2 linked regions of the Notamacropus eugenii genome follow. The protein of the gene in region 1 binds, or shares a complex with, the protein of each later gene. Links are inferred from orthologs where the notes say so. Each region holds a gene or a part of one and is shown on either strand. Other genes may lie near its edges.

Evidence for each region.
Region 2: C1H9orf78 (region 1) and PPP1R8 share a complex: the UniProt entries of both Homo sapiens proteins name them as parts of the spliceosome. The link is inferred for Notamacropus eugenii from reciprocal best matches to the Homo sapiens genes C9orf78 and PPP1R8.

What each region holds. Positions count from the first base shown.
Region 1 is NC_092872.1:481,401,631-481,418,031, forward strand, and holds C1H9orf78 (splicing factor C9orf78 homolog), read right to left. Parts: upstream 7,348-16,401; 5' UTR 7,140-7,347; coding exon 7,060-7,139; intron 6,104-7,059; coding exon 6,044-6,103; intron 5,260-6,043; coding exon 5,208-5,259; intron 4,809-5,207; coding exon 4,738-4,808; intron 4,509-4,737; coding exon 4,431-4,508; intron 3,685-4,430; coding exon 3,487-3,684; intron 1,749-3,486; coding exon 1,612-1,748; intron 1,401-1,611; coding exon 1,302-1,400; intron 488-1,301; coding exon 396-487; 3' UTR 88-395; downstream 1-87. UniProt on the Homo sapiens protein: Plays a role in pre-mRNA splicing by promoting usage of the upstream 3'-splice site at alternative NAGNAG splice sites; these are sites featuring alternative acceptor motifs separated by only a few nucleotides. May also modulate exon inclusion events.
Region 2 is NC_092876.1:68,904,722-68,920,631, reverse strand, and holds the start of PPP1R8 (nuclear inhibitor of protein phosphatase 1), read right to left. Parts: upstream 7,116-15,910; 5' UTR 7,108-7,115; coding exon 6,875-7,107; intron 5,281-6,874; coding exon 5,220-5,280; intron 2,960-5,219; exon of another isoform or gene 2,793-2,959; intron 1-2,792. UniProt on the Homo sapiens protein: Inhibitor subunit of the major nuclear protein phosphatase-1 (PP-1). It has RNA-binding activity but does not cleave RNA and may target PP-1 to RNA-associated substrates. May also be involved in pre-mRNA splicing.

The sequences.
Region 1 (16,401 bases):
AAGAATAAGATCACATAATTCCTACAATCTACTTCACCCTACGCAAATATCAAAAGAAAGCCAACTTATTTACAAAGGAGATTTGGAAACAGTAACAAGACTACTATTTAACAAAAAAAGGAAAACCTCACAGCTTAATGAGGATATCAATCCACTGCTTAAGAAAACCCAGCAGGTAACATGCAAAAGCATTACAGTTGATTTTCACATGGTCACATTCATTAACACATCTATTTGCAAAAAAAAACAATCCAAAAATAGGTTATAAGACACAGCCTAAACAGATCTAAAACAAACAAACTTTTCTTTCTGTGATATTTACACTGCATCTTGTACTTGACAAAAAATAAATTCTCTGCAAAAACCCCCTTCCCATCTGCTCCCACTGAACTGACTCAATAGCGTCTGTTCATCTTCTTAAACTTCTCATAATGATAATCATCGGTTGCCTTTTCGTTGGGAGGGCGCTTGCGATTTGGAGGAGACCCTTAAAGAAAAACAGAAGAAAAAGATGTCAGCCATAGCTTAAAACTAATTATCTTAGGCAACAAACCCAGTATCCTCAAGCAGGAGCTATCAGAGATAGATTCCTTCAGGGACCTGTGATTCTGTTGCTGGGCCAAGGAAGGTCACATCCCCTATAGGTGAGTCCTGGATAACAGTCACAGGACACAAGAAACTCATCTTGTAGCCAAGCTAATCATAAGCCTCTTACAACACAGCCAGGTGGGCCCACAGACAACAGACCCAGAGTCCACCCTAGGGTTTGGAATGACCTGCCTGAGCTTTCACTCCACTGGTCTGGTCAATGGGAACCCCAGGGCTAACCCCACCCAATGCTAGCTGTCAAGAGGATTGGCTCGAGACCAGGACAAAGAAGCAGACATGGATTAAACAACACTCTCCTGGGGCCAAAAATAAGAGTAGCCAAAACAGAAAGAAACTTACGAGTTTTTTTATTTAGGATTAAAGGAAAAGCCTGATAGCACTGGGCTTTGGGAAGGAAGGAAGCCAAGGTGGAGTCCCTGAGTACCCACTCTGGGGAAGAGTGTTCAAGAGCAGCTACCAAGGGAGCCCCATGTCTGCTACTACATACATTGATTCAAAGCACAGCCTAGCCAATTTTCCAGGTGTTCTAGAAAAATTTGCAAGCTTTGAAAGGGTTATGACAAAAAAAGCTTTAGATAAAATGCCCAGAACATAAAGTTTCTGTAAAAAATGCGTTGCCAATGAATGCCTTTTTTTCTCTTTCCTGTCCCCACCACCCAACAGCAAGAAAGTACTGAGACATTTGCTCTTACTCTCAGGTTCTGGCTTTTCTGTATCTCCTACCCTGAGGGGTCGGGTTTTCGGCTCTTCTTTGTGCCTCCGAACTGGGGCGTTGAGCTCTTCATGATAAACTAAGAAGGAACAATTTGACAACAAATTCAACAAACATTAAGAAGCACCTACTATATGTGCAACACTCAGAAGTTAAGGACTTAAGGATTTTCCTGGTCACTAGAGTGGAACAGAAGTAACAGAAAGGGCAGAGAACATGAGACCTGGCCACTCGGGTGCCCTGAAAGAGGGACGAAGGTGAGGGAGCTGGGGTGCATGAAACACACTCACATCGGTTGTGCTGCACATAGTTCACAGCCATGTTGGTTGGAACAAAAGAGGTTTCACTGTCTTTCTTTTTATTCTGTTGTTCAGCCAGCAGGCGTGCCTTGGCATCTTCTGTTGAAATGATATTTTTTATTTTTGCACTAAGGGGGAAGAGAAGGAAAACCTCTTAACCTTAAAATATGGGGAATTCAGAGGTAAGAGTCTTATAAGACTGCCATCTTCCCTCCCCCCTCCCCAAGTACACAGAGGAACGTGGATTGGAAAGAAGCAGGTGGGAGAAGAAGAGAGTTCTTTACTGAGATCTTGGCCAACTCCACATGCAAAGGAGCCTTAAAAGGGAATGACACACTCACAGAGATCATTTCTGGTTACTGCACTGACTTGTTACTATCTATACTATATTGATTTGCAATATTTCCTCCCTTTTAAAAACAGTTGTTTTAAGCCAAAATGAAGACAGGTGATTAAGGGAGGAACTGAACTAATTATTGCCAAGTTCACTACTGAGAGGAGAATTAAGAGGCCTTGCTAAAATCTGGAACACCATTCCTCTGGGGTGTGTTCAGGACAGATGGAATAAGTGCAGTGCTTAAAAGCACTTTCACTTTCAATCACAAGGGCCCTCCCTCAAGCCTTTCCACCTGCTGGGCCATCTGAGTGGCACCTGTGAACAACCACAACAGCAGCCCACCTCCTGGAGAGAAGGAAAATTACCTTTCCACTTCTTCCTTAAGATTATTTTAGATGAAAGTGTGTGTCTGTGTCTGTGTTTTGTGTTACCCTTGTGATTTCAAAGGAACACACACTTCCCAGGAAACTTCCTCTATCAATGCAGACTGGCACCTGCACTGCTACTTCTGCCTTTTCAATTATGTGGGGCACTGAGAGGTTCAGTGATTTGCCCACAGTAGCACAGTCAGTATGGACCAGGGGGAGGACAATCAATTTCAAAGGTAACTCTCTATCTACTTTACCACCACTACTTCTCATGGGAGGGAGAGATAGGGAGAAAGAAAATAACTTCAAAGACTGGGTTAAGAGAAGTATTTCCATATGTGCTGACCAGCTCTCCAAATCTGTTCAGCCAATTGGTCCAGAGTCCTTGTCAGCCCTCCCCAGTTATATTTGCTATTCTTGAAGTAGCATGGGCAGAACATGGGACATTAAGTTTACTTTTGATTTTAGCACAAAAGTTTCAGCAACATTCCCCTTAAGTTCTACCTCATGTAAACTAGTCAGCCAGGTGGTAGTGTATAAAGTGTGTGTGTTTATCCTTTGTTGCCAAAGAAGACCATGCCATCAGAGAAATAATGACATGACTTGCACTTGACTTTGTTTTGAGTGAGGGAGGGCTGTGCAGGTCACCAACCTCACTTCTCCTCCAGAGCCATCTGAATCCAGTGACCAGATATTCCTTAGGATGACTGGAGGTGACCCAGGATGAGGCAATTGGGGTTAAGTAACTTGCCCAAGGTCACACAGCTAGTGAGTGTCAAGTGTCTGAGGTGAGACTTGAACTCAGGTTCTCCTAACTCCTGCACTGGTGCTCTATCCACTGCCCTGTATAAAGTACTAGACTTGGAGTCAAGGACACCTGAGTTCAAATCCTGTCTCAGATACCTATTAGCTGTATGACACTAGGCAAGTCATTTAACTTCTGTCTACTTCAGTTCCTTTATCTGTAAAATGAAAATAAAAATAGTACCTACCTCCTGGGTTGTTGTAAAGATCAAATGAAATATATATATACATATATATATAAATAAAATGTTTTCAAAATCTTAAGGAACTATATATGCCAGTTATGATTATTTCTAATAAATGAATTATTTCTACTGAATTTCTATTGATTGAATAAAGTAAGAGGACGAAACTTACTCAATGCCTAAGTCCACCTCAGGGATGCCGCTCAGCATCTGATTGGATAGCATTTCTTCTGTTTTCTTAGCTGAGGAAACTCGGATGCTCTCTGGGAGCTCATAGAGACAGTCTTCAGCATTCTTCAACTTCACCTTCTGCTCCTCATTTTCCACAATTCCTTTCCTCTTCTTCAGCTCAGTTTCAATATATTTCATCCTAGAATATACCAAGGGACAGCAGGTTAACATACTAGCTCTGTCCTACTCTAAGCCACAGCCCTTCTGCTAGTCCAGCAGAAGAGGAAAGTGCATTAGGGGAACTTCAGGAACTGCAAAGTAGATGGGAAAGGGTTGTTGTGTTTGTCCTTCATTCTGGAAGAGGATCATGACATCAAGATGATGACATGTCTTGCAGTTGACTTTGATCGGAGTAAGGGAGGGCGGTACAAGGTCACCAGCCTCACTTTCTCCTCCAGAGCCATCTGGGTCCAGTGGCCTGATATTCATCAGGATGAGTGGAGATGATCCAGGATGCAATGTGGGACCCTGGACATTTCAGGCTAAGGTCTTATCAGATTCTCACTTTGAGTGAGATACACCCATTCAACGAATAGACCTCTCTAAGTAGTTACTCAAGGGTGGCCCATTTTAATAAAAATTTAAAAAAAAACCAATCTGGGAGAAGACTTTCAAGGTTCCTGGGGAAAAGAGAAACAGTTACTATTTAGTATTTACATTCCCTCTGTGCCAGGTGGGCGGGGACCTGTTGTCCAATCTATGAGTTAATGAATTAGGTTTAAGATTTGGTCTTTGAGCAAGAAAGGGTAGGAGACAGAGAAAGGAAAATAATTCTGAAGCCTTCTAGAAGCTGCAAACATTTCTCTTGGTTCAGCTAGGAAAGAGGATTTAGAACCCACAATAAAAACCTTATCTGCTCATACTGTAAAAAAAATAAAAACTTACATGTCAGCATCTTCATCCCTTCGGTTGGTTTCTGCTGAAAATGATGTTCCTAAGTTGAGGTCCTCCTCTTCATTAATCCTAAATGGAGACAGAGTTATGGTATCTTTAATATTTCCTTGGAAAACAATGTACTAAATTCATTAAAAAAAAACAACACATAAAATAGTTATTCTTTCACAGCTTCTGTTTTCCCCAGTCTCTCTGAGGATGCAAGTGAGTTTTCCTACTACTGTGGACAATCAAAATTGAGTGTAGTAACAGGGAGAGAAAATGTTCTCAATGGTTTCTAAAAATGTTTTCTACCAACCTGTCCTTGTTTCTCTCCTTAAGTTTCTTCATGTCCACCATTCCACCAGTCTTGATCTTAAATGGATCATCCTACCAAATAAGAAAGATAATGATGATAATGAAAAAGCAAATATGGTTTATAAATTAGGTGGGGGAAAAAGATAATTTGTCATTCATGTTTTTATCACCCAGAGTTCAATTATCAAACAGTTATTAAGCACTTACTATGTATTAGGAACAGTATTGGGTGCTAGACCCTAACACTCAGGATCCTGAATAGGTGAGGTATCAATAAATGCTGGCTGATGTAGGATAGATAACCTTTCTGAAGGACAACCTATTTCAGTTCTGCTCATCATACAACTGTGCTTTACTGAACTATATCACACTATTTTACTGAACTAAATCACTTTTAACTTGGTAACCTTTCAGGGTCATCCTTCCTAGCCAAATATTACAGCATTCACCAGAGATGTCCACAAAACTCACCACTAGAGTTGTCTCTTCTTGTACTTTCTCTCCAACCAGGAGGGCTACGGCACTGAATAGAAAAAATGGTGGGTACAACTCAAAGATAGGAAAAGGTAAAGCAATCAGTTCAGAAATTCATTATTCAGGCTGACAAGTAAAACTCATATGAATAATGGGGGCCAAAAAGGCATGTCATGAAAGATCACATCTTTAAAAAAAACCCAACCAGACTAAAACGGATGCCAACTCTCAACTTTACAGATATGTTCTTCGTTCTTAGAGCTAGCTAGATTTAGAACTAGATTTAGTCCAGAACTCTATCTCTCTCTCCACCTCCCCCCACCTCAGGTCAAAAATGTAGGGAGAGCCAGCACTTGAACCCAGGTCTTGTGATTCCAAATCCAGTCCTCTGTGTACTGCTTCCATTCTGCATGATCTTTCCAAATATCACTGACAGTGCCTCAAGACTTCTGCCAGTTCCTTCAGTTCCCAAGGATATAAACTATGCGGTCATGGTGACTTGAATTCATCAAAGGTAACTCTTTAAATTTTTTCTATCCTGTTATTTTAAGTGCAAAGGTCATTCTCCTTAGCAGAGAAAAATGAAGCAAAATAAACACTAAACATCTCTATTTTTTACTCTGCATACTCCTCATTTTGAACTATTGACAAGCATCTGGAAAAAGCAAGGGAAGTCAGGTAGGCGATGGAATGCCCTGGTATACAGTTTAACATAGAATATGGGCTATTTCAAGTAGTTATGCATTTGTCACAGTATTACACAAAGGGGATCCAGGACATACTTTTTTCTTCTCTTCTGACTGTGGTCCCCAATCCAAGGTGGCTAAACCTACCTCACCCCATTAGGCCGTCTCCTCAAGCTCTGAACTTCTTTGGTTTCCTCAAGCTTCAACCTGAATATAACACAGAGAAATAATTAAGCAGTCCAAACATCAAAATAAAACGGGGTCTGGTTATTGAGAGTTCCATCCACTGGCGCTGAGGCTCTGTCCCCAAAAGGGACACTGTATTTCCAACTACTGGACAGGTTCAGAAAGTCTGACAGATTTCCTCATCTGCTGGGGGACAACAGTCCCTGAGTGTAGCAGTTTTTGACCATCCAATGCGTGTACATGTGTTCATAGGAGAGGATTGGGGGAGTTTAAAAAAGGTCAAGAATTAATTTTTTTTTTAGAGTGACAAATTAGGTTTCAGCATATCTCCTACCTATTCTCTTTCATTCTCCCCATTCCCCTCCCTTCTTTCCTAGATTTAATACAGTCCTGTTTTCTCTCGGAAGAGAGAAGTTTTGTAAATCTTCTGTCTAGTATGAGGCAGAGCATAACACACATATAAGTCAACGCAGGTAAGAAGAAGAAGGTTTCTACTGCCCAGCTCACAGGGTAGTTACGGGAATCACAAGACATTATGTGTTACATAAACGTCAGATGTGACACAAGTAACACTCTGAAGGAACGAATGAATTGTCATTGGAAGAGAACACACGAAATATACATTCAACAGTTGCCAGTTAAGACAACAGCATTCCAACAAAGGCAAAACCAGTGCCTGTCCTCCGAGAGCTCCCATTCTGCTACGGGGGCAGGAGGGCAGCATCTTGGTCGCGGGGAACCCCCGCAGCTCTCGCATCGTTTTGGGGGTGCTCGCTCCCCCCGGGGGGCGGAGAAGATAAAAGCCGGGCAGTACGAGATCAATCCCGCAGGCTCGGGGTTAGGGTCAAGGCCGGCTGCCCTCCCGTTCGGACCTCGTCCTCCCACACCAGGGGCTCGGCCGATCCCGGAGGGATGTCATTGGGTCGGGGCTTCTCCGCACAGCAGTCCAGCCGCCCCCTGCCCCGCTCCCCACTCACCGGACCTCCTCACTGTCTTGCTCGTCTGACTCCGACTCCGAGTCGACGCGGCGCTTGCGGAAGGCCTTGCCGGCCCGCATGGTGCCCCGAGCCCGGGTTTCCACCAGGGACTGCCGCGGGGTGCCCCCGATGGGGCGCCTTGGCCCCGGAGCTGCGCAGCTGCTCAGGGCTGCTTCCGGCGCAGGCCAGTGCGGTCAGCGCTGCGTGCGGCCGCGGCGGCGGCGGGCCCGCCTCCGGCTCCAAGGGCCCGCGCGGGGCGCTGCCCATAGGGCCGCGTGCTCGGAGCCCGCCCCGCCCCGGCCGGCCCCGCCCCTCCCCCGTGCCGCCGCCGCCGCCCGAGCCGCGGGGATGGGGAGCGGGCAGCCGTGCCGGCGGCCACTCGGGAGCCCAGCCCGCCGAGGTGAGTGTGGGCGCGCGGGGCGAGGGCCGGCCGTTATCCTTCCGAGCCGCGGGGGCGGGGAGGGAGGCGGCGATCTTCTGCGGGGGACGCTCCCCCCGCCTCCCTCCCCTTAATTCCTCTCCCCTCTCATGGCACTCCCCTTTCCTCCTCTCTCATTGCACTCTCCTCTCTTCCCCCTCCCCCGCTTTCTTTTTCCTCCCTTCCCCTTTCATCCTCCTCTCCTCTCCCCTCCCAAAGCCCAAAGCTTGAGCGGTGGTCGAAGTTGTGCCAGCATTCCAGCTCAGCCCCTCGAAGGTGCCTTCCAGCGAGACAGGAGTTCGGCAGGTACACCAGGTGTACCAGTGTCTCTTCTGAATTTCACTAATTATCTAATTCAGACTGTAGAAAGTTGGCCTTTTAAAAAATGAATGAGTTAGCCTAAAATAATACTTTTAAAAGTAGATTGTATTTGGGGACTTAAGAAACATTGTCACAGCCCTAAGGTGAATTTTTTAAAGGAAAACGTTTACAACTTTCCCTCCTCTTGTTATTTTTTGAAAACTAAACACCACTAACGGCCGCATCAGGCCCCAGGCCTCTGTCATCCCTAGCCAGTCCAGAAGGGAGCCTCCTATATTTTTAGTTGACATTACTGTGGTAGCCTAATGATCACTGGATTCTGGAGGGAGAAGATTCTGTACTTGATTTTAATATTTACTTGCAAGTGACATTAGCTAAGTTCCTTATTGATTCTATAATTTGCTTTGTTGTAGGTAAATGAAAGAGAATAAAACTTCCTCTCTTACACAGGTTCTGTGACGATTAAGTTCACCTTTTAAAAATGTGTTTCCAGAAGTCTAAGGCTTTATGTTAGTATATAGTAATTGTTTCCTTTTTTTTAACCATAGGAGAGGTCATTTCTTTTAGTAGTTCAGATCTTCCACTAGCAAGTTATCCCAATTTTAATGGAGTCACAGTCCTCATTTACCCTCCCTAGATATGCTTTTCAGTTGCTTATAATGTATACACCAATGCTGATTGGTTTTTTGTCATACCTTTGAACTGCCAGTGTTGGCTGGTGTCTGGGAAATGGATTGGTTTTTTCCTTTGGAAGGGTAAAGCTTGACCTGCCCTGGGCGTATTACAGTATATCATACCAAGCCTGAAAGGTAGATGGCACCAGGTAGTTCCACGTAGGTGTCTTTAAATACAACTGTATTTGTAGGCATCAAGGACTGGAAATCTTGTCTCACAACCATTGTTTTGGTCATTGCTTAGCTAAGTACCCCTCCAAAGATTCTGAACTTATACTCTGGCTGTGACCTAGGCCCCTGTGCACTAACTATACCCTTCTAGGAAGAATTGAGTGGATAACCTGCATCATAAGCTATGACTGAATGAAAGATTGGCACCTTTGGTTTAGTTAGCACAAATTAGAAGACCTGGGTTTGAATTCTGACTGCCACTTTTTTGCTTTGTGATCTTAAATCACTTAAAGCTGATGTTTCTGTTTCCTCATCTGTAAAATGGGACTGATAACTGTATTTATTACCTACCTCACAGGGATTTTGTGAGAATTGAATAAGGCCATGGCTGTAGACAATGGATATAAAAGCATTTTATAAACCACCAAGTGTTACTTTAATTTCAACTTTTGTTACTATGAATTTAGATTTAATAAATGTTTTTTAGATTGAGTGGTGAGAATATTTTGATCTTTTTGTTTTGTTTTAGGAGGAATGTTTAGTTCTGGTTTGAACTGGTTTGCTAGCTATTTGCTTAAAAAAAAACCTTTAGTTTAGGTTTGAGATCAGTAAAATTAATATTTGTGTTAGGCAATTAGTATTTGTGGTTCAGCAAATTGGTACCATTTGTTCTAATTCCTAGTTTGATTGGTGGTGCAGTGGAAAGATCACCAGATCTGGGTTCTGCCACTAACTTTCAGTGTGACTGTGGGCATGCCACTGTCCTACTCTAGCCCTCAGTTTTCCCAAGATGAACAGGTTAGACTAGATTATGTATCATCATCAGCTTTCCAGCTCTAAAAAACCACACATCTAAGTCCCCGTTTAAAAGTCACTTAATTCACACTTCTCTATAGAAGAGGTATCTGACACCACACACAGGCAGCATGTGTGCAGCCCCCAACATTCCCCAAAACATTGGAACAAGATGAAAATGTAATTGGAAAATATTTAATAAGACAATGAGATGTGGTTTCCTAAGTCAGTATATGGCCTCCAACGATCCTGATATTTGGTTTAATGATCTGGTTTCTGTTTGAGTTTGACACCACTGCTCTAGTATATGTATGATAATTAAGCTAGCATTGATATAGCTCTTTAAAGTTTGCAAAGTACTTTACATATATTTTACTTTATCCTCACAACAGCCTTGGGAAGTAGCTGCCATTATTATCCCCATTTTATAAATGAGGAAACTTGAGGCAGATAGGTTAAGTGACTTGCCCTGGGTCAAACAGCCAGAAAATGGCCAAAATAGAACTCCAGTCCTCCTGATTTCAGTCTAGAGCTTTATCCCCTGCACCACTTAGTTGTCTAGGAATGCCTCCTGTGTGTGTTGTTTTTTAACCAGGCCTTGTTGATTTCTCCTACCCCTATCCAGTCCTCCACAATGTATGAAAACCCTGTCTTATCAAATCACTGTTTCTTGTGCAGGACAGTAATGTCAGGTGCTATAAGGTTTTATAAGTACTAGTTATGGTCCCTACTCTCAAGAAGCTTACATTTAGTTGAGGAGTCTAGATCATTACAAGTGAAATCATTCAATTAACTAGTATTTATTGAGTGCCAACTGTGTGCTAATCATAATCACTGAAGATGGAACAAGGACTGATCTGTACCTCCAATGACCTTACATGTTAGGGATCTAAGGGGTAGAAATAACAGCTACAATATTAACAGACGTTTGTTTATTATACTGCTTTACGAAGCACTTTCATTACAATAACTCATAACTAATGCAAATTAAAACATCCCCTGCCTTTCTTAGATTGTTGTTTGTCTCTTTTTGTTCCAGGCATCTTTGACAGTGCCTTGAAGCAATAGATATTTGATAAGTGTTTGCTGAATGGTGTGTAAAAATATAAATATTCATGTTGAGTGTAACAGTAAAAATATTTAAATACTAGTTCAAAACAACACAGGATGCCATAAGGTCGTAACTGATTGTGCAGCCAATTATATAGCCAATAAATGCCACTGGGAGCCAGCCATCACTGAGAACTGGGCTGGGCTGTCCTTGAAGGAGGCTTGGAGGAGATGGGGCTAGAGCCAGGTCTGGAAGCTTAGGCAAGAAAGGAGTCTTGCTTGCTTTTTCTCTTGTGGTCCTGTGCGACTACCCCAGCTCCCCCTGGATTTCTAAGGCTTATGTGCCCCGTCAACACCTCCACCCTCTCCCCGCAAAAAAGGCTATATATACCGCCTAATAGAATGCAAGTTCCTTAAGGACACAGACTGTGTCTTTTGGGGTAGAGGGGCAGTCTTTGTCTCCCACACGACTCGGAGGTAATGGGTGCAAGTTTCCTCCTACAGAACACTGAGTTATTGACAGCTGACACTGGTTTGCTCTCAAGGAGATGGCAGTCCATAGGAGAAAGGACAGGACAGATGTTTGGTGATAAAGGCGATGGTGCTTTTTCTTTTTTAAAAAAAGGTTTTACTGATTCTCTTTCAAAAAACAAAAGTCACTGTCACTTTACAGTGATCCCACCCACCCACCGCACAGTCTTCTCTAACAAGTAAAACCTGCGTGCAAAACACATCTTTCCGCCCCCCACCCCCCACCCCGCTCCCCCCACGTTGGCCGGGTCTAAAGAATTCTTGGTACGGCTCCTGTAGGCCCCCATCTCCGCAGGCAGGCTGAGCACGGTCCCCTTCCCAGGAGGCTATAACCGGGGCACTGGGGGAGAGGGCCTCCCCAGTGAGCCCCAGGAGACCCCGCCTCCTGGGCTCCGAGCTGGGACGCCTGCGGGCCCCGCCTCCACCTGGGCCTAGGAGCGGCTTGGCTTCCCCAGCCCACGCCCCGGGCTCGTTCGCTCGTGGCCTCTCTCTCCGGGTGGGAGGCCCTTCCCCGGCGCCCCCTGCCCCTGCTCGGTGCGCGGACCAGCCCGGCGCGGCCCCCTCCTGCCCCAGCCCTCCTCTCTACCTGTCCCCCCGCCCCCTTCCCTCCCTCTCTGCCCGCGAGTCCGCTCCCCCACCCCGGGCGTAGTCCCGGACCCCCGGCCTCGGCAGGAAGGCGGGAGGAGACCCCAGGCCCTGGGGTGCCGAAGCCGCAGCCCGAGCCCGAGAGAGGAGAGGCGGAGACCGAGGAGGGCGAGGACCCGAGGAGGGGGCCGGTGAGCGGTCAGGGGCCCGGTTCTGCCGTTGGGGAGCCTGGGGGCCTGGCCCCGGAGTTTAGCCCACCCGAGCTTAAGGAATTGACTGGAGATGGGCGGGGGAAGGTTCGAGGGAGAGGGGGAATGAAAGGATGGGGGAGGGAGAACCAGACCCACCAACTAAGAGGGGAGAGTTGGGTAGAGGGCGAAGGTTAAGAGAGGGAAAGTGGGAGGACTCGGGGAGAGTTAAAGGGGGATGGGACAGGGCTAAGAGAGAAAAGGGAGAACGGGGGAGGGTGGCGAAGGTGAGGCCAGCTTAGAGAGGTCCGGGAGTGAGACTAGGGGAGGAGCAGGAGAGGGTTCAAGGAAAGGGGGCTTGTGGATAGATCGAGGCCGGTCAGGGACCTCTCCCCCGCCTCCACCAGATAAGGAGGAGAAGTTTGGTCAGTAAAACCTCGGAGGAAATTTTGAGGTGGGGGGTGATGAAGGTTAATAGGAACCAGCATCTTTTGAAGACAGAATTAAGGGAATAAAAGGGAGTCAAACAAGGCATGGTGGGGGGAAGCGAGGGGGAATGGTTTAGAAGGAAGCCTGCAGTTGTGTTGGAAAGGGGATGGAGTGCATTGGTAACTCAGAAGAATTAGAAGATGAGGACTGAAAGCAGAGGGGTGACAGTGGTCGACAAATGTGTGGTGTATGCAAAAACCAGGCAAGAAAACCGAAGGAACTGGTGACTCTAGGCAGAATTAGTTAGGTCAGTTGCCTGGGATGAGAAGCGTTTCCCAAGGGGCTGCTCCGAGCCTCTGTTTAGTTTTTGCTGTGCAGCGACTCCTCTCATTTCAGTGAGCACCAATGGGGCGGGCCCTTGGTTAGTTAAACCTCCTTGCACCCACTTTGCTGCTTTTTTTCTTCATGAGGAGGGAGGTAATTCTGGGATTACAAAGACTGTCATCACAACCACATCACACCACCTGTGTGGACAAGGATGATGCAGCAAAAGGTCCTTGAGAAAATGATGAGTAACCCTGAGAAGCAGCCTGGGCAACAGGCTGCCTGGGCTCTAGTTCCGATGTTGGAATTTGACTCTTGCTCCTAGACGTGCATCCTCCAGACCCTGCTTTTATCAGGGAGTCAAGATGACAGTTGCATTTGATCTCTTCTAAAGAATCATTTATCTTCACCTGCAGCCTCTCTTTTGAAATCTTAATTGTGTAACCTGGCAGCCTCCAAAGGAAGGCTGATTTCATTCTGAAAGCTCAGTGGAAAGCTTTGTACCTTAGTGTATCTGCATCATTCTCTCTCCCTCCCTCTCTCTCTCCCTCTCTCACTCACACCCACACACCCACACATCCACCCCACACACACACTTGCTCTCATTCCCTCTCCCCCATAAGTTTTTTGGTTTTTTGTTTGTCAACTTAGAGGGGGAAAGTGCCGTGTGAATTAGCCAGGAGAGAGAATGCATTTGTGTGTAGAGTAATAATTTAGTTTTTGTATGAATATGAAAAGTGATAGATTACTTATGCTGTAGCAAGATTTGGGGAAAGGCAGGATATCTTTTTTAATTTAAGTTTTAGCAGTGGCTGCTGGAGAAAGAGGGAAGACATAGGAGCTCTGCTTTTTTATCAATTGTAATTTCAACAGGTCCTGAACGAATACCTACTTTGTACATATTCTTTACCAGGCATTCCATTTCTCTGACATTTTTTCAAAGTGTTTCATCATATTGATCATTGACAAACATGCTCCCACTTCTAAGATAAAAATAAAGAATCCTGAACATTTTAAGTTCCTGATAAAAGCTCAATAAGGATTAGTGCAAAGAAGTTGTCAGTTCTCTGGGAAAAGTTGTCCACTGATAATTGGCAGTCTTTGCCTTGTGCTACATTTTTAGGGTTTGCTCATCATTCCTATTAAAGGAGGATTATTTACTTGGCTTCAGAAGCAATTAACTTCAAGCTTAGTTAGTGCTTACTGCAGCCTTGCTTTTCTTTATCTATTTATAGGCAATTCTTTTTGGGTTCCATAGGTCTGGATGTTAGGCCTTGGGGAATCTGGCTCTAATTTCTGCCTTAGTATTGGGTCTTTGCAGGGTCTGTGGTAGAATTCTACATGTGATGTGTCAAGAGAAGAAAGTGTATCATTCATGGGTGAAAAAGGTCTTTGATTGTGAAGTAGTACTCCTCAGCTCAAGGAATCATTTTTTAGCAGGTCTGAACCTGATGAGAGTTCAAGAGCTTTGGGGACATGTGCTTCTAGTGTTTTCCTTTTTCTGTGGGACCTGGACAAAAGGGAAACTAATAGAAGCTATGCTTAAGGTAATTTAATTTTTTTTAACAGACACATTGTAATTTTAATAAATGATTGTTTTAGGAGATGATACAAATTTATCATTTTGTGATGACTGTTTTGTTACAGTGAAAGAAAACCTTGGTAAAAGCCTATGGGAATAAAAGTCCCTTTGGTAGTCAGGAGAAAGAACATACATTTGAATCTACTTTGATTATGAGTATTCCTTGATCTAAAGAAAGACTTGGCTTTTTCCATATAGTATAACTAGGTAAGAGACACTGAATTTCTTCTTTCATACACAGGACATGATATGTCTGGGATATATATAATGTAGAGCATTTTCTCAGAGAGTTAGGAAGTTGGTCTGGAAGCGCTCTTGATTTAAAGCAAAAATATAATCAAAAATTTTTTTTTGCTTTTTTTTTTTTTTTAATCTGACCTCTACTTCAGACTGCAGATTCTAAGTACAGTATAGCTAACCACAAACTTTGGTAATCCTGTGCAGGTCAATGTTTCCTTCCACACTAAATCAAAAGCATTCAGTCTCTTTTCAAAATAACTAGGGGAAGTTTCAATTCCTGATTTCTCGTCTAATTGAGAAAGCAACAACAAAAAAGAATTTATTAAGTTCATGCTAGGAATAAGCTCTCTTTAAGATCATGGCTCAACTACTTCTAATTCTATGGTAGGTTAGAATATGTTGGAACCGACGCAAAGTAAATATCACAGCTATCTAAGAAGAACTAAAGAAAACTTTTTAGATAGTAGCCTACTATTAAATATACTTAAATCTAGAGGTAGGTATGATCATGGCATTAAAGGAGTCATCAAAGTTCTGATACGCTACTAATACAAAACATTAACACTGTATATTAATAATAATGGTATTAATGATGGCTACCATTTACATAGCATTTCAGGTTTTCAGAGCACTTTACAAATATTTTATCCTTACAACAAAAGTAGGTGCTGTTAATATCCCCAGTCTACAGGTGGAGAAACTGAGGCAGACAGAAGTTAAGTCACTTGTCTAGGGTCACTCAGGTAATAAATATCTGAGGCCATATTTGAACTAAGGTCTTCACTTGACTCTAGGTTCAGTGCTCTATTCACTGAGCTCTCTAACTGCCTCTAACCATTTACTGGCTCAAGTCAGAAATTAATGAGGGAAATTCCAATTAATTTGGGGGGACACTTAGCAGTGTTGTGCAGATTTAATCCATCTTTACTGTGTTTCCTAATTTATTTACCCTACTATTGTGTAATAAGTATACTAGCTTGTAATAGTATGTAATTGTTAACTGCTTAAAAATCATAGTTTATGATTTTTTTTCTTTTTCTGAGTTTCACCCTCTGCCAAGGTCGATTGCCTGTGTAAGTTATAAGACTGTATATATGACTGTGAAAAATATTGATCACTGACAAACATTGAACAACTGAGCAAGGTATTTTTTGGGTTAGTTGGTTGGTTGTTCTTGGGGTGCTCAAAAAACCTAAAATGACATTACTATGGGGCCAAGGTCCAGGATGTCCAGCTGATCAGACCAGTATGAACTTGGAAGGCTCTGCCAAGGGTTCAGTATAAATAGTCCATAAGAACATTTGGAGTGAATATGTCTCTAAATTTGCACAATGTGTCGGGTAGAACAAGCCACAATCAGCAAAGGACCTGGTATACTTTTCGAGAAAATAGAGGCCACTCATTGAGGATTTCCTCTTCTCCCTCTCCATCCCTTACAATCCTTCCTTATCTTCTCTTAGTTTTTCCTTCACTCTCTCAAAGATGGGTACCTTCCTAAAGCTAATCTCTCCTCCTGTGCTTTTGATCCTATCTCCAGTCTCTTCCTGGAGTTTTTCCCTTCATCTCTCCTGATCTTTCTTTTGTCTTTCTATGCATGGTCTCTTTCTTCATGTCTAAAAACATGTCCCATACTTAAATAACCTTTGCTTGATTCTGTTGTGCCCTTGAACAACATATCATCCTATATCTCTACTTCTTTCTCACCCCAAATCCTGAAAGGGGTCACTTAATTGCCTCCAGTTCCATACCTCCCATTCAGCTGTCAGTCCCTTTACAACTCCTGATTCTATCCTCTTTAAGATGACCAACAGTTTCTTACCTGCCAGATCCATTGACCTTTTCTCAGCTTTGTCTTTGGCCTCTTGAAGCCTCTGCTTCTCTCCTTTGACAGTCTCTACTCCCTCAGCTTCCATGATATTTTTCTCTCTTAGTTTCCTATCATTGTTTTTGAACAGATCGATGATTTCATTGGCATAAGGAGAATTAGGTAGGGGATTTTTCAAAGCTGATATTTGGATTTTATAATCATCAGTA
Region 2 (15,910 bases), on another chromosome or scaffold:
ATCCCAATGGTGGTTCTCAAGGCAAAATGCCTGCCACACTCAGAGAGAGAAATAGGGAAGTCACTCACATAATGTAGCAGATCATGTCTGTGTATGTGTATGTGTTTGTGTATCATGTTCTGATTTGTTATACGATTTCTTTCATTCATCTTAGTCTGACTACATAGCATGACTATAGTGAAAATATACTCAATAGGAAAGTATATGTAGAATCTATACAGAACTGTATGCAGTCGTGGGGAGGGAGGGGGGTAGTGGGGGGTAGGTGGGGGGGATAAAATCGCAATTGTATGGGAGTGATTGTTAAACATTAAAAAATAAAAAATAAAAAAAAATAAAAAAATAAAAACAAAACCAAGTTCCTTTTAAACTCAACTTCATTTTTTTAAACAATTTTTTCCTAGATAAAGTAGGGTAATAAGGAAAGGCAGCCCAGGGAATGGCATAATTGGGAACCAGGAAATTCTCAGTTACTGGATCCAGAGAAGACTACTGCTTCCCTGGCTGCCTCAGTTTTTCTATTACAAAAGAGAGATAAATGACTGAAGACACAATCGACCACACTGAGGTCATAACATTTTCATTAATTTATTTATGTTTTCAATAAGCTCTATCAGTAGCAGACAGTGCAGTGCAGTAGGGACAGGCCCAGTGCAGCGAGGTAAGAGCATCAAACTCAAAAAGAGAGAGCTGCTAAAATGCACAGAAGATCCCTGCAGCAGCACAGTGACTTAGAAAATCACTTATTAATATTTGATTCTATTTTATTTCATTAAATATTTCCCAAGCACATTTCAGTTTGTTACTGCATGTCTGACACCTGTCATGGGCATGGTAATTTTATTATTCAAACTTTGGGCTCAGCTTAAATTAAGTTCACATTAACCTGGATATGTGGTTCTACTCTCAACACGCACAATGTTCAACAGCCGTCACTCACAGGATGGTTTCCAGTTTCAGCCTGGCAGACCCCAGGTCTGAGTCACTCAGTTACTGAGTTCTCTGTAGCATGTGCCCTCCTTCTTGATACCTCTCTCCTCTTCTGGCTCATGTATTGTGCATCTAAAACTGTCATGCTCTCATTTTACAGTTGAGTAAACGGAGTCTCAGAGAGTTGCAATGACTCGCCCAAGGTCACACAGTTCATGAAGTAACCAAGCAAGGATCTGAGCATGAGACCTCCCACACTTCTGCTCTTTGCTTCTCTTCTCCTTGGGGATCTTATCGACTCCCATGGCTTCAATTATCAACTATGCAAATGACTCCCAAATTCCCATCTTCCACCTCACTCTCTCCCTAGGGCTCCTGGGCTGAAATTTCAACTTCTGGCTAGATGTTATCATCTGGATGTACCAATGGAAGCTTAAATTCAGAAATGTCTAGGAATGAACTCATTCTCCCTCCCTCACCTCCTCCATCCTGGTTAATGATATCACTACTCTCCCAGGACCCCAATGACATCAATCTTAACTTTCCCCCCCCCTTACCCCACACATTCTAGCAGCCGTCGAGCACTTCTACAGCATGAACAAAGGAAATGATCAAGTCATTTATTAAATGCCTCCTATGTGCCAGGTACTGGCACAGCACTCAGTGCTTTAAATATTATCTCATTTGACCCTCACAGGTGCTATTAGTATCCTCATTTTACAGATCAGGAAACTGAGGCAGAGCGGTTTTGGGATTTGCCCAGGGTCACACATATAGTAAGAGTCTGAGGTGGGATTTGAACTCAGGTCTTCCTGACTCTGGGCCCAGTATTCTATCCATAATGCCACTTAACTGTCCTCAGTCTGATTCTGAATCCTCCCTCCTTCCCCCCCACCCCCACAAATACCTGAGTTCCATTCTTATTCTCTTCGTATGTAGGTTATAACAACAGACTTTTAACTACCCGTCCTACCTTTATCCTATCCCTTCTCTATCCAATCTTCACACTGGATTCCCAAGTAATCTTCCCAATCTTCCTCACTCAAAAACCTTCAAGGATGCCCTCGGTGCGACTCCCTAAAATATAAACTCCAGATGCCCCCTACATTCTGATTCCAACCCTTTCTGGCCTCATCTCGTTCTAGTCTTCTTCACATATTCTCAATCCAGTCAGACTGGTCTCTGTCTTGCACGCTCTCCTGCACTGTCTCTGTGCCCCGTGCCTAACACAGCTTCTTTCCATCTCTGTTGTGATCCCACCCAATGTCCAGCGTGAAGCTCTTCCCAGAGCCCTCTAGAGCTCATGCCTCAGGTGAAAGTGACTTTCCTTCTCAAATTGCTCACAGTATTTTGTCTGAACTTCTTCTTTGCATTTATCTCCCTCTGCCTTGTATCAGAGTTATCTGTATCCATGTGTCCCATCATCTTATGTATCCTCACCAACTTGGACAAAGTAAAGTGCTTTAATATAAGTCTGTTCTTTTGAATTCGCTGAAATTCTGAGGTAGGCCACAAATTGTAAAAATATATATATATGTATATATATATATATATATATATATATATAAAACAAATAACGCCTATATAGGTTGAATTTCTCATAGCATTCTCCACTCATATTTTATAAATATAGATCGTGACTTATGATAGCAAGCTGACTCTTTACAGGTCCTGAGATTAGCATCAAATAAAGTGAGGCTTACAGTAAGTCTGACAGAAATCGCTCCACTGTTCTCAATGTCCCTGCTTCACAATGTTACAACTACTTCTGACTATAGGAACTATCTCAGTCTGAATACATTTCAAGCAGGCTGGTCTTCTGCTTCTCACTCCAGCCATTATTCCAGTCGGGCTATCATCAGGACTGTACCTTTGAGTTATAACCCAGAGTGCTCACCTCAACATGCTGGGCTTAAAAGACTCATGGTTTACTATAATATTGCACTTATAAAACCCAGCTATCACAAGACACATCCCAACCTTCTAGAGCAGCTCAGGATACAGATAGCTTGGTTAGTATCAAGTGCTTGATAATTCCATAGAGATAAGACCGGTCCTGGTCTGCTGCTAATAAAAATGACCAAAAGACACTCTTTCGATCATAATTTGCCAGATATGTTTCACCCAGTCGTTTAAGGGAGCATTTAAAGAGATTTCATTCTAGGAACTAACAGCCAATCTTACAAATTATGCCTAATTGTCTTCTTCCCCCCATACTGATAATAGAGATATCAGTTGAATTCTAGTCAAGAATTTATTAAAAGCCTATTATGTGCCAGGCACTGTGATGAGATTTAAAAAAAAGGACAAAAATCCTGTCCTTGCCCTCAGGGAGGTCACTGTCTAATGGGGGAGACAACATGCAAACAACTATCTACAAACAAGATTCAGACAGGATCAGCTGAAGATAACAGATAATAAATGGAGAATATGAATAAACAATAAACAAAGAGAGATAATAAATAAGAGGGAAGGCACAACTACGAGGGATTAGGAAAGGCTTCTTGTAGAAGGTAGGATTTTAGGCAGGGAAGTCAGGAAGGGGAGATGAGGAAGAGAAGAAGCCCAGGCAGGGGGATAGTCAGGGCAGATTACCTGAGGAACAATAAGAAAAGCCAGTGTCATGGGATTGCAGGGTACATGGGGGTGCGTGCATGCATATGTGTGGTGAGGGTGGCTGCAGGTTATGAAGGGCTTTGAACACCAAACAGAGAATATTCTATTTAATCTGGAGGAGTGGGGGGGGGGGGGGGGAAGAGGGGTTAATGGAGATTATTAACTAAGGGGTGACATGGTTAGACCTGAGTTTTAGAAAATCTACTCAAGATCTGAGGGGGGGGATGGATTAGAGGTGGGAGAGCCTTGAGGCAGGGAGATCAACCAGAAGGTCATTGCAATAGTAACCAAATTTCTTCCCTAAGGATCCTTTAGCAAAGACTATTAGGCATTTCTGGAATGCTCTATTATAAAACACTTCATATACATTGTAATGCAGTATTTCATGTTAATCTTCCACTAAACTTCCCAGGTGTTTCTTACCATGTCTCAGAGATGCCCTGGGCTCTTGGAAGGCCATGCCACTGAAATGCAAGGTCTGGCAAATTATACCAAGCCTGAAAACCTTTGGGTAGAGAACAGTGATGGATTCATCTATCTGTCACTAGAGCCTAGCCTAGCTAAGTCTGGAAAATTCGGCAAGAAGTAGATGACTCCCAGGTGATAATTTTGGGGAGTTTTGGACACTGTACTTTATGAATGGGTTGTCTACTAAAGCGTGGAAGGGCTATGATCTGCACTGGTGCGCTGCTGAAACCACAGATTCACAGATCTTCTGAAGTACTTCTTGTAATAATCTCAATGTGGGGGGTCTTAAAAGTTCTACTTTCAGAAGCAGACCTATGACATAACAACTACAAGTGACTGACCTGAGATTACACTGTATGTGCACAGAACGGAGCCAGCTCCTCATTTCAATTCACACTCTAATTCAGCATATTCCAACAGGGACCGATAACAACAAACTGTGTCAAGAGGGTCCTTCACAGTAGGAGTGGATAGTGCAAGCAGATGGTGGGGCAGCACAATGAACAATGTGCATCAAAGAGAAATCATAATTCAATAATATTGCTTGGACTAAAAATCCTAAGTGCTGAAACTGATCTCAGTCACAGAGGCTCTTTGGCCCATCTCCTTACACTACTTCACCAACTCTTAGTGACAAATATGTCACAACCCAGGAACAATTCTAACCTTGAAAGCTCTTTTAAAAAGTTCTATCCAGATTATGGTTAGGGAGCTTCAGCCTCCAATTATGGGCTCTTTCAGATAAAGTCATCCTCCCCATTCCTCTTTTAAAAGGCTCCTTATTAGCTCTGTCCAATCCTCTGAGCAAAACTCAGGGACAATTCTTACAGACGCCTCTTTCTCAAGCTCTGTATTCATGTGATTTATTCAGCTAATTAATTCTCAGTGCATTCCACACATCCCATGCTATTTCCCAGAAAGAGTGACAGAAACTTCTTATAGGTCCTTTGCCCACGTCCTTTCCTTACAGTTCAAAGATCCATGACCTATTAAAAACTCCTCACCGGGAAGATGGAGAAGCTAACATACAACTCAGTGTCTGCAAAGAGATAGTGTGGTTCAATGTATTATACCATTAAGTGCTTTTAATGGAAAAAATTGGAAATTGAAAATAGCATTACTGGAAAACAAAGCACAAGAATGAGGGTGGGAAATGACTCATGTTTTCCCATGTTGGAAAAAATGCATGATATGTATTTTCATACCTCAATTAACTTGTCTCCTTTAACTACATCCAGATGTAAACCAGGTGGGGGTTTACCTGCCCTAGAAAATAAAGAGAAAAACACCTTCAGGATGAGTACAATGAATTGCTATTTACAGTTTCTGTTCCCATTGAGTGTCACAGCTCTCCAAACAGCCTATAATTAGTTCACATTCAAGTAGAAATGCCATCTCCTTCGCTGTTATTACAGCTTCTTTCCACTTTCGATGCTGTACTTCTCCAATGATTCAACTGCTCCAAAACAGACCTCAGTTAAGCAATATTTAGAACAGCAGGAAAGAAACCTATATTTTTAAACCATATGTCTACCTTGCAGGGCAGGCCTACAAAGATAGAAGCTTCCGGCGCAGCGGATCAGGGAATCTGGGCTTGATGCTAAGGTCTGCCAATTAGAATCTGAAAAGGCAGAATAAGCTAAGAGGAATCTGGGGCTGCAGGTGTGAAATAACATGTCAGGAAAGCACAAAGTTGGTGGCTCACAGTACAAGTAGGGACCGGACTTGGACCTTGAGTTCCGAAAGGAAAAGGTGTGCTGCCCAGTTGGGAGTCCGAGGTGACCTTGGCCTAGGAACCCCTTCCTCCCTGCCTTGGCATCCTCTGAGGACAAAGGCACAAAGGGGTCCTGGAAGCATCTGCGGCTGCCCCTGTCAGGTCGTACTTTCCCCACATCCACCACAGCTATGATGGTCATCTCAGCCTCCAATGAGACCCCGTCCAGGAGGGGCCCAGGGATGAACTTTCGAACAAGAACCGGGGAGGAGATCGCCCATTTTCTACCGTATCATTTCATTTCCTATGAAAGCCTGGGGGCATTAGGGCTAGCCCTCAGGGCAACCCTCTCCGTGTCTGTCTGTCCGACCCCCCGATGTCTGTCCCAACTAGCAGGAGTAACACGCACGGCCATCTCACGACCTGGACCACCTCCTGCTTAGCACAGCATGAGAGAAGGGGTGCCCGCGGCCAGAGCACGGCATGAGCGGCGGTGCCAAGTCTGCGCCCCGCTCAAGAGGAGTCCCCGGGTCTGGCTCTGCAGCCCCGGCTCCCCATCTTCCTCCCGGTTAAACACCTCGGAGGTTTCCCCAAATTCTACAAGCCCACGCCGCAGGACCCCCGGGGAGTCGGCCGCCTGGCTTCCTTCCCCTGTCAAAGGGGGAGGGCTGGAGGCGCCGCCTCTGGGGGTCTTTGGGGCCCCGGCTTGGGGGGAGGGCCCTGAAGGCCTCAGACCCAGACCCCCTTCCGGGCTTCCCGGCCCCCCGAGCAGCGGCCCTCGGGCAGGAAGGGAGGACGTGTGCGGGTTCTCTGCCCCCAGCCCGCCCGCCTGCCGGCCTCCCTCTAGAAGCAGGGCTGGCCCCGGCGTCCCGGCCCCTCCGGGACCTAGGTGGGGCGGAGGAGGCGGGGGAGGGAGGAGAGGCCCTCCCCCTCCCCCAGCGGCCTCCAGCCCGACCCCGGGGGCCCCAGGCCGCCCGGTGAGGGGAGAGGAGGCGAGACGGAAGCAAGGATGGAGGATGGAGGCCGCCTCCTCTCCCCGTCCCTCGTCCGCCCGCCCGCCCCAGGCCCTGAGGCCTGACCGCCGCGCCCCGGAGACACCCCCGCCCCACCGGCCCGGCCAGGCCAGGCCCGGACCCCGGCGCTCACCAAGTCGGGCAGTCGAACAGCGGGAGACTCGAGCCTGAGTTCGCGGCTGCCGCCATCTTGCGTCTCCCCCTCCCATTTGGAGAACCCAAAGCATGCCGGGAAGTGGGAGGACTCAACTGGGGAGGGGAGGCGAGGAGAGAGATCCCAGCAGTCCATGCGCCCCCTCCACCCGCTCCGTCCGAAATAGACCCCCCCATCTCGAAGACCAAATAGCGAGGTCTCCGAGAGCGCATGCGCCATTCTGCCCCGCCCCTCGCTTCTGCACGTGGGTTTGGTGGCTTGAGCCTTGGCCCTGGCGTTTGGGCCAGTAGAGAACTCCAGCCCTTGGAGCCCCTCTCCAAGGCCCCTCCCAGTCTGCCACTCTGGGTTCCAAGGGCCCTCCTGGTTCTGCCACTCTGGGTTCCAAGGGCCCTCCTGGTTCTGCCATCCTGGGTTCCAAGGGCCCTCCTGGTTCTGACATCCTGGGTTCCAAGGGCCCTCCTGGTTCTGACATCCTGGGTTCCAAGGGCCCTCCTGGTTCTGACATCCTGGGTTCCAAGGGCCCTCCTGGTTCTGACATCCTGGGTTCCAAGGGCCCTCCTGGTTCTGACATCCTGGGTTCCAAGGGCCCTCCTGGTTCTGACATCCTGGGTTCCAAGGGCCCTCCTGGTTCTGACATCCTGGGTTCCAAGGGCCCTCCTGGTTCTGACATCCTGGGTTCCAAGGGCCCTCCTGGTTCTGACATCCTGGGTTCCAAGGGCCCTCCTGGTTCTGACATCCTGGGTTCCAAGGGCCCTCCTGGTTCTGCCACTCTGGGTTCTAAGGGCCCTCCTGGTTCTGACATCCTGGGTTCTAAGGGCCCTCCTGATGGCAGTATTTTTGTACTCTAAGGCCCCTCCAGGCCCTGATATTTTAATATTCCAAGGACCTTTCCAGCTCCAACATTCCCAGTTCTAAGGCCTCTCTGTGTGCCAAGGTCCTTCCTAGCCCTGACGTTCATTCCACGTTCTAAGGTCCCTCCAGCTTTTGATGCAATCTAGGGGTGCTGGGAATCCCAAAATTCAAGGGTCCAGGGGGGATCTGCCTCGAAAGAATTCAACCACTCAAGGCCCTTTCAGTCAGAGTAGTGAGGTTTTATTATAACACCTGTTAGACCGGTGAGGTTCTAAGAATCTGCACAGTTTAATAGGAGTAAGATTGGTACTTTTATATACAAAAAGACAGTGAGAAAGTCTAGATGGAATCAAGGAATGGAAAGTAGGCTGGGGTGATTGGGCCTTAACTGGGAAAGGGGTCTGGATGGGATTGCATTCATCCTTCGTTGGGGAAGAAGACCACACCATCAGAGAAATAATGACATGATTTGCACTTGACTTTGTTTTGAGTGAGGGAGGGCTGTGCAGGTCACCAGCCTCACCTCTCCTCCAGAGCCATCTGAATCCAGTGACCAGATATTCATCAGGATGACTGGAGATGACCCAGGATGCAATGGGAGACCTTGAGGCCAAGGTCTTTGCAAGTACTCACTTAGGGTGAGGCAACACCCATTCATTGAATAGGACTGTTTAAGAGGTAGCCAGGGCATGGCTCCTTTAATGAGGCCACGAAAAAGAAAGACATCAGGCTGGCATTAAGGAATATCAAGTAAACTAATTAAGTAATCAAGGTGGGCTGGGGTGGGTCAGAGGCCTCAGACAAACACCAGGGACCAGGTTCCTGAAATTTGTGGGAAAGTTCAGGGGCTTTTCCTTTTAGGGGTTCAGATCTCATCCCCCGAGCACTGTAACATTCTGCAATAGATAGAGTAGTGGGTTTGGACTCAGGAAGACCTGAGTTCAAACCTGGCCTCAGACACTTACAAACTGTGTGACTCTGGGTAAGTCACTTCACTTCAGGCAGCCTCAATTCCCTCAACCATAAAATGGGCATAATAACAGCACCTACCTTGTAGGGTTATTGTGAGGATCAAATGCGATAATATTTGTAAAGCATTTAACACAGTACCTGGCACACAGTAGATCCTTAAATAAATACTTGTTTCCCTCTTTCCTTCTACTTGTAATATTCCATGTTCTAAAGTCCTTCACAGCATTGACACATTATACTCTACAGCTGCTTCCAGATGACATTGTATTGTAAGGTTCCTCCTAAGTCTGACATTCTGTGTTCTATGACTCTTTTAAACTTTTACATTTTACATTCTAAGGTACCGTCGAGTTCTGACATTCTGTGTTCTAAAGCCCCTTCCAGCTCTGAGGCTCTTTTAAGATCTAACATTCTATGTGTGTTGTCCTACACACGATTTCTGTACTCTAGCATTCTGTTATTAAAACTGCTTCCAGCTTTGTCACTTTCTGTTTTGAGGCCCCTTCAGCTTTGATATTAGGGCAGCAAGGTGGTACAGTGGATACAGCACTGGGTCTGAAGTCAATAAGATTTGAGTTCAAATATGGGCTCAGGCACTTACTGGCTGGGTGACCCTGAGTAAGTCACTAACCCTGATTGCTTCAATTTCCTATCTGTAAAATGAGCTGGAGAAGGAAATGGCAAACTACTCCAGTATCTTTGCCAAGAAAACCTCAAATAGGGTCATAAAGAGTAGACATGCCTGAACAACAACAAAACTTTGATAGTGTACATAGGTATCTTAGTACCTCCCAGCTCTAACATTATATATTCAGTGTTCTAGCATTCTATGTATTAAGCCTCTTTCCAAGTCTGGCATTCTGTGTTCTATAGTCTAGCTCAGTTGTTGACATTCTGTATTTCACAGTTGCTCCCAGCTCTGACATTCCATGTTCTAAGTTCCCATCTACCTCTGACATTCTGTATTCTAAGGGCCTTCCCAGAACCAATACCCTGTGATCTAAAATTAAAAGGGATTATGGTGTCCCAAGGTTCCCCTCTTGCTCTAGAACCTATGATTCATATACTCAGCACCTTCATTCAGTGCCTTTCCACAAACTCAAAACAGGAATCCTGTTTTGTAGCTGAATTGTAACTGAAAAACATGTAGAACAGTCCCATGACTGATTTTTACCTCATTCAAAAATGACTAGAAATTTCTCCTTTCACCCAGGGCTTACAGAACTTTCACATAAACCTTCATTCAAGAGACCTCAGCTCTCACTGATATTTCTGCAATGAACTTCCAATTGTATTGTAGTATTCTGCAGTTTAAACCAACTGAAGAAAGGGACTTGCTAGAGGTTTAAGGAGGTTGTAACATATTATCAGCCATGACTTGTGATGGATGATTATATCAAGGCCATATATTATCCAGGAAAAGAAATAGATTGATCACATAAAAAACAAGTGATGACAAATAGGAGATCCAAATTGTAGAGCGATGTCCAGGAAATATTTAAAAGGTCCAGAGAAAGGCTTCCAGTACTTAAACTAAATAGGAGTTATGGAATGACATAGATAAGATGTACATAGGATGCGAAAGCAAGGATTCCTAGGATCTATCTTCTCTGATGAGTCCACATGTCAGTAAGATCCCAGAACCACTGATGCTTCAGTGGTATGCCTGAAATGGAAAACAGATAAAAGCCTTTCCTGAGGCAGATCAATGAAGGCATGGAGGAAAAGGGGCTGGAAGTCTACTCTTTTTTTTCCAATACTGATGATTCAGAGACACATACATGCTCTGTCTGTCCTACTTTCCTAAAGCTATGCCATGCTAGAAAGTACTGGGATTTAATAGACACCTTCTCTAAAGCCCTGATCAGTTTTGGAGAAAGGCAGCAGCTATACACAGAGAGAAATGAGAAATTAAGGAAAAGCCTTACACTGAGAACCAAAATGGAAATCCAGGGCTTCTAATGAGTAAATGCTATTTGTGAGAACCTGATAAAACTTACACAGCAGCTTATAATACAAAGTTGAAATTAGCTGCAAAAGAGGTGGACTTTTCTCCCTTGGCAAAAGTATCAAGTCATCTTGGCCAAACACAATCCACCATCAGCCAGGCATCAGTTCTGCTGGTTATCTGTACTCTTATGCTATGTCCAGCCCTTCCTTTCTTTTTATTGGATGGGGAGTGAAGTCTCCTCATTCTTTTCCTCAAAGAAAACAAATTCTTGGATCCAAAAAAAGGGAAGGAAGCAAACATTTATTAAGTGCCTATCTGTGTCAGGTAGTTTTAAGTGATTTACAAATATTCTCTCATTTGATCCCCACAATAACTTTGGGATGCAGGTACTATTACTATCATCATCCCCATTTTACAGTTGAGGAAACTGAGAAAGAGGTTAAGGTACTTGCCTAGGTTCACACATACTAAGTGCCGGAGGCCAGAATTTGAACTCTGGTCTTCCTGATACCAAGCCCAGCTCTCAATCTACAGAGCTACCTAGTTGCCTCTAGGTGGAGCTAAAGTGACCTCAGCAAAAGAACAACACACTCCAATACAAATCAAGGTTCAGGAGCCTTTACTATGAGATGTACTCCTGTAAATCACAGAGATGGAAAGAACCTCAGAGGTCTGCAAATTCAAATTGTATCCCAATGATCCCCCTCTGCAGCAGCCCCATACAAGTGGCCATCCAGCCAACACATGAAGAACTCAAGAGTACTGGGAACCACTGCTACCCCAACAGATCCTGTATTCTCCCAGAAATACCTCAGCTAGCACACAACACTTAGACCTCAGCAAAGAGCTAGTCCTCTTTGTGTATTTCAGTGAGATTTGGTATCTCAAACTAACTGGGCCTAACACCTGGTGAGAAGCTCAAGGTGTAACATAGGAAATATAGTTTGAGTTTAAGAAATTCTGGACTCTTGGGAAACAGGTTAGCTCAGTACATTTGTAGGATCACCTCTTCCTAGGCAAATTTCCTGTCCAGAAACAGAAATGTGTTTTTGGCTAGCTCAAAGAGCATTACGCCATGCAGACAGTAATGGGCTAGAATACTGCCTTTCATCTATCACCTCAACCTTGTGAAAGTCTATAAAATAGGTTCTAGACTGGCAGGCTGAATCCCACCCTCTGTTCTTTCTCTCCTGGCAATTTTGTGACTCATGACTTCAGGAAAATGGGAATAATTTACACACCTTATTTTCAGAGTGATCTCTGAGAAATAATTATGTCTTTAAAATGCTTTAAGCAACAAAGGAGACCAAGGTTCACTCACTAACTTCCAGGGATTGGAACCATTAAAGCTTTCTGCCCTTTTGATCCATACTTAAGTAGTGGTAACTTTTGGTCAACAGTAGAGTGGAAAGAGCTCTACATTTAGAGGTAGAGAAAAGCCAGCTCTATTCCTTACTCCCTGTGTGACCATGAGCAAATGAATGAATCTTTCTAGGCCTGTTTCCTTATCTAGAAAAAGACAGGGTTAAACAAGATGACCTCTAAGCTCTATTGGCCACTCTCAATCATTACCCTAGATGAAGCTTCTCTGGCCTTTCCATTTCTTAGCAATCAATATACCCAGGTGTACTTTCCCCCAAAATCTGGTAGTCCCATAGCCCAAGAAGCCTCAAATGTTTTTCTTACCCCTATAATCCTTTCTGTTCTAGCCATGTTCCCTCTGTTTCCAGCACAGTGGATGTGAACACAACCCTTTTGGTATAGGGGGACAACCTGCACTACCTAGCCCTCTTATAATGCAAAAAAAAATCTCTTTGTTTGAGTACTCGCATCATCAGTGATGTCAGGACAGGCTTGCAGACTGGGATGCAGCTATCTAAGTCCTCAACATTGTGATCTGTAGAGCCTGGGGAGTTGCCTTTGCATTCTGATATATCCATGATGGGACAGATGGAAAAGGAGAACCGATCTAAAACTTGGAAATGAATTCCTGGAAGAGAAATCAGAAGACATTGGAGGCACATTTGGAATCTGAAAACTCACTTGACTATCTGACACCAATGGATTACAGTACTTGAAGGGCAGTATGGGAATACAAGAACCAGGGAATCTGCAATCAGACCCTATCTTACACACATCTGCCAGGATCATGGTAAATCCCTTCACTTTTCTAAGCCTCCAATGCTTAATCTATGAAATGGAGATGAAAGTACTAAATCACTCTGTAGAGCTTAAGATTCCACATAAGGGTGTTATTTCTAGTCAAATTTCACTTTGGGGAAAAGTATAACAATTCTTTCTCCCACCAAACAAGTTGATCAAGCCATCTGAAGGCAAAGTCTAGATTAGGATTAAAGTCCACCAAAGAAGGAATCTCTCATTTAGTATCTTTCTAGTGAGGTTATCATGGCAGAATGGATAACACCTTGGATTTGGAGTCAGGAAGACCTGGCTTCCAGCCCTGCCTCAGATACTTATTAATTGTAAAATCCCTTGGGCAAATCCCTTCATCTCTTTAAGTCTGTTTCATTTCTAAAATGTTGATGACCTGGCACCTACTTCATGGGTGTAAATTGCCTTACAAACCTTAAAGTGCCAATGGGAGAGCTATCATTCCCTAGCTCATATAGATGGTCCTGGAGATTTCAAAGGCGCCATGCTTCGTGGAGTTGAAGAGACTGAACAGAAAAGTATTTATTGAAACTTTGGGAGGCACAGACTATCTCCTAGATAGTTTTCTCCTCTTCTATCTCCAAGGCCTCAGGGTAAGGTACATTCTGTAGGAGCTGGAACTGAATCCTAATTTCATTCCTTACATTGTGGCCAAGGGCCTTTTCATCTTGAGGAAGGAACCATGAAGATCCTAAGTACAAATACTATCCTCAACAAGCCTCTGAGCAGTTGAAACATCCATGAAAGGAGGAGGAGGAGGAAGAGAAGCAGTTCTTCCTTCTAGAATCCATTTTGCATTAGACATATTTTTTTTTTTTGCTTGAGAGCCCAGGATACCAGTGGGCCATGAGACACTCTTCTCTCTACCCTTTCGTCCTACACTTAGACTGAGATCATTTGAGGACCTAGCAGACTCCTACTTTCAATATCCTCCCAATGGGCAGGTAGGTTCCAACTGGAACATACAATTCTGATTTGCCTGAGAAGAGGGGTTCCTGGCTTTGTTCAAACTCTCTAGGGGTCTCCACATCTTTGGAAGCGATGGAGGAGACTGATGAACAGCTCATGAGGCATCCATCTGGCATTACTCTGGACAGACAAACCAAATCCCCTGGAATGCTAGTACAGACTGAGAACCGTAGGATTTTAGTGCTGCAAGGAGGCCTCTTTTAGAGTCATCCTCCAATGGCTCACTGAGGCATGGTAGTGATCTCAAAGGCCGTCCTGGGGGATCACAAACTGTGGCAGGGCCTCCAAACCTGAAAAGGCTCCAAGTACAGACATAGCAACAGAGTGATATAGTATAGATACTCTCTGGGGATCAGTAGAACTGAGCTCAGAGAGGCTTATTACTGTATCTTGCATTTTTTCAGTCATACCACTCCTTTGGGACAGACCATTCTCCCAGTCACAGAGGGACTGGCTAAGATCTATATGAGTAGAAGGAGCAAATGCCCACATTATTTCCAGAAGTATTAGAGAAGGGATTAACCCCACAATTTTGCCCCCAGAACTCATCTGGTACCACCACCTTTGCTTCTAGGGGACAGTAGAGTATGGATTCACCATTCATTCTATCAGGACACTGATTCACATAAATGTACTCGAAAAACTTTTAAAAATGGTTTATTGATATTAATTGGATGGAATGGTGGTGCAATAGTGCAAAGAAATGTGTGCAATTCTGGGGCCTTGTTTTCCCTAATTTTCACAGCTGGACGAGTCAAAGAGAATTAAACAAACACCAAGGGAGGCTGAGGGAGGGCAGAGGATGTCAATACATTTGGACTGGCCATGTGCTAGCTAGCTCACCATCAGGCAGCTTGGTTCACATTTGGGTCAGAGCTGAAAAGGTTGTGCTAACTCCATTCACTCTAAACCGACACATGGGGGAAGTAGGCCACATTTGTGTGGCATGCGGGTGGGTTGATTTCAAACATTTTCAGTCAGTCTAAACTATATGCAGAGAGGTGAGTCTCCTCTTCATAAATTAGTTTCAAAGGTTAGCATTACTATTCTGAACCAGCATTATTTACAAAATGAACCTTTTACCTACTCTAGCCTTAGGTTCATAGGACAAGTTATTAAAGAAAACTTCTGGCTAGTTTTAAAAATCTCTTTCATTCGACACTCAGCAGCTTTTGAGGGGCAAGGGCTGGGTAGGTGTTCAACTTTGTGACAGCAACAATTACCATTCACCAGGAACGTAGAGTCACAAACTAAACGAAAGTAAATTTAAGTCACTACAAATTGTTTGCTCCCATTTAGCTTGTTATAAGAATGCCACTTTTAAACAGCAATGACTGCTCAGTCATCCTCTTTCTACAAATATATGAGAGAAGGGCCCCAGGGAGTGTTGATAAATATATTGGCTAATTCATCTGAAAACCAAAAAGTGCTATCTGAACAAAATCCAAATGGGGCAACTACAAACTGACCTCAGCAGCAAACTGAAGGATGAAACTTGAAGTCAAATGGGAGGTGTGCCCTTAATTAAGACTGACCAGTTCGCACTTTCAGCTAAAAACACAGAGCTGAAATCTTCCAAAGCAAATGGAAATATTTTTCTTGGAAATTCCAAATTAAAATGGCAAGTAGGAAACATTGCTGGTTTATAAAAGGTTCCTGATGGCCTCCATTACACTGGGTGCCAGAAAATCCTTCTGTTCCACTTGCTGGTAAAAAGGCTGTTCTGGCACACACATAAAAATACAACAGCACAAGAATGTAGTGTGTTACCTGTCAAACAAGAACTTCAAGAACGGAATCTCCGAAGACTCACTCGTCAGCGGACATTTGGGACAGAGAGCAATCAATACGAGAGAAAGCAAAAACCCACATAAGTTAATTCCTAATTTGCAAAACTGATACAATTTGTACATAAACCGATAAACACCAGCTCCACGGTTCCCCAACCCCAAAATCTAGTCACCAGCGGTTAGTTTCTACCTAGATTACTAACAGGGAGCTTGGGGATGCTCTCTTGAGGGGATCAGTTTGCTCTGGAGATGCCGACACACTCTTGCTTGGAAGCAGTTCAGCAGGAGTGGACTCTGAGGGAATTGACC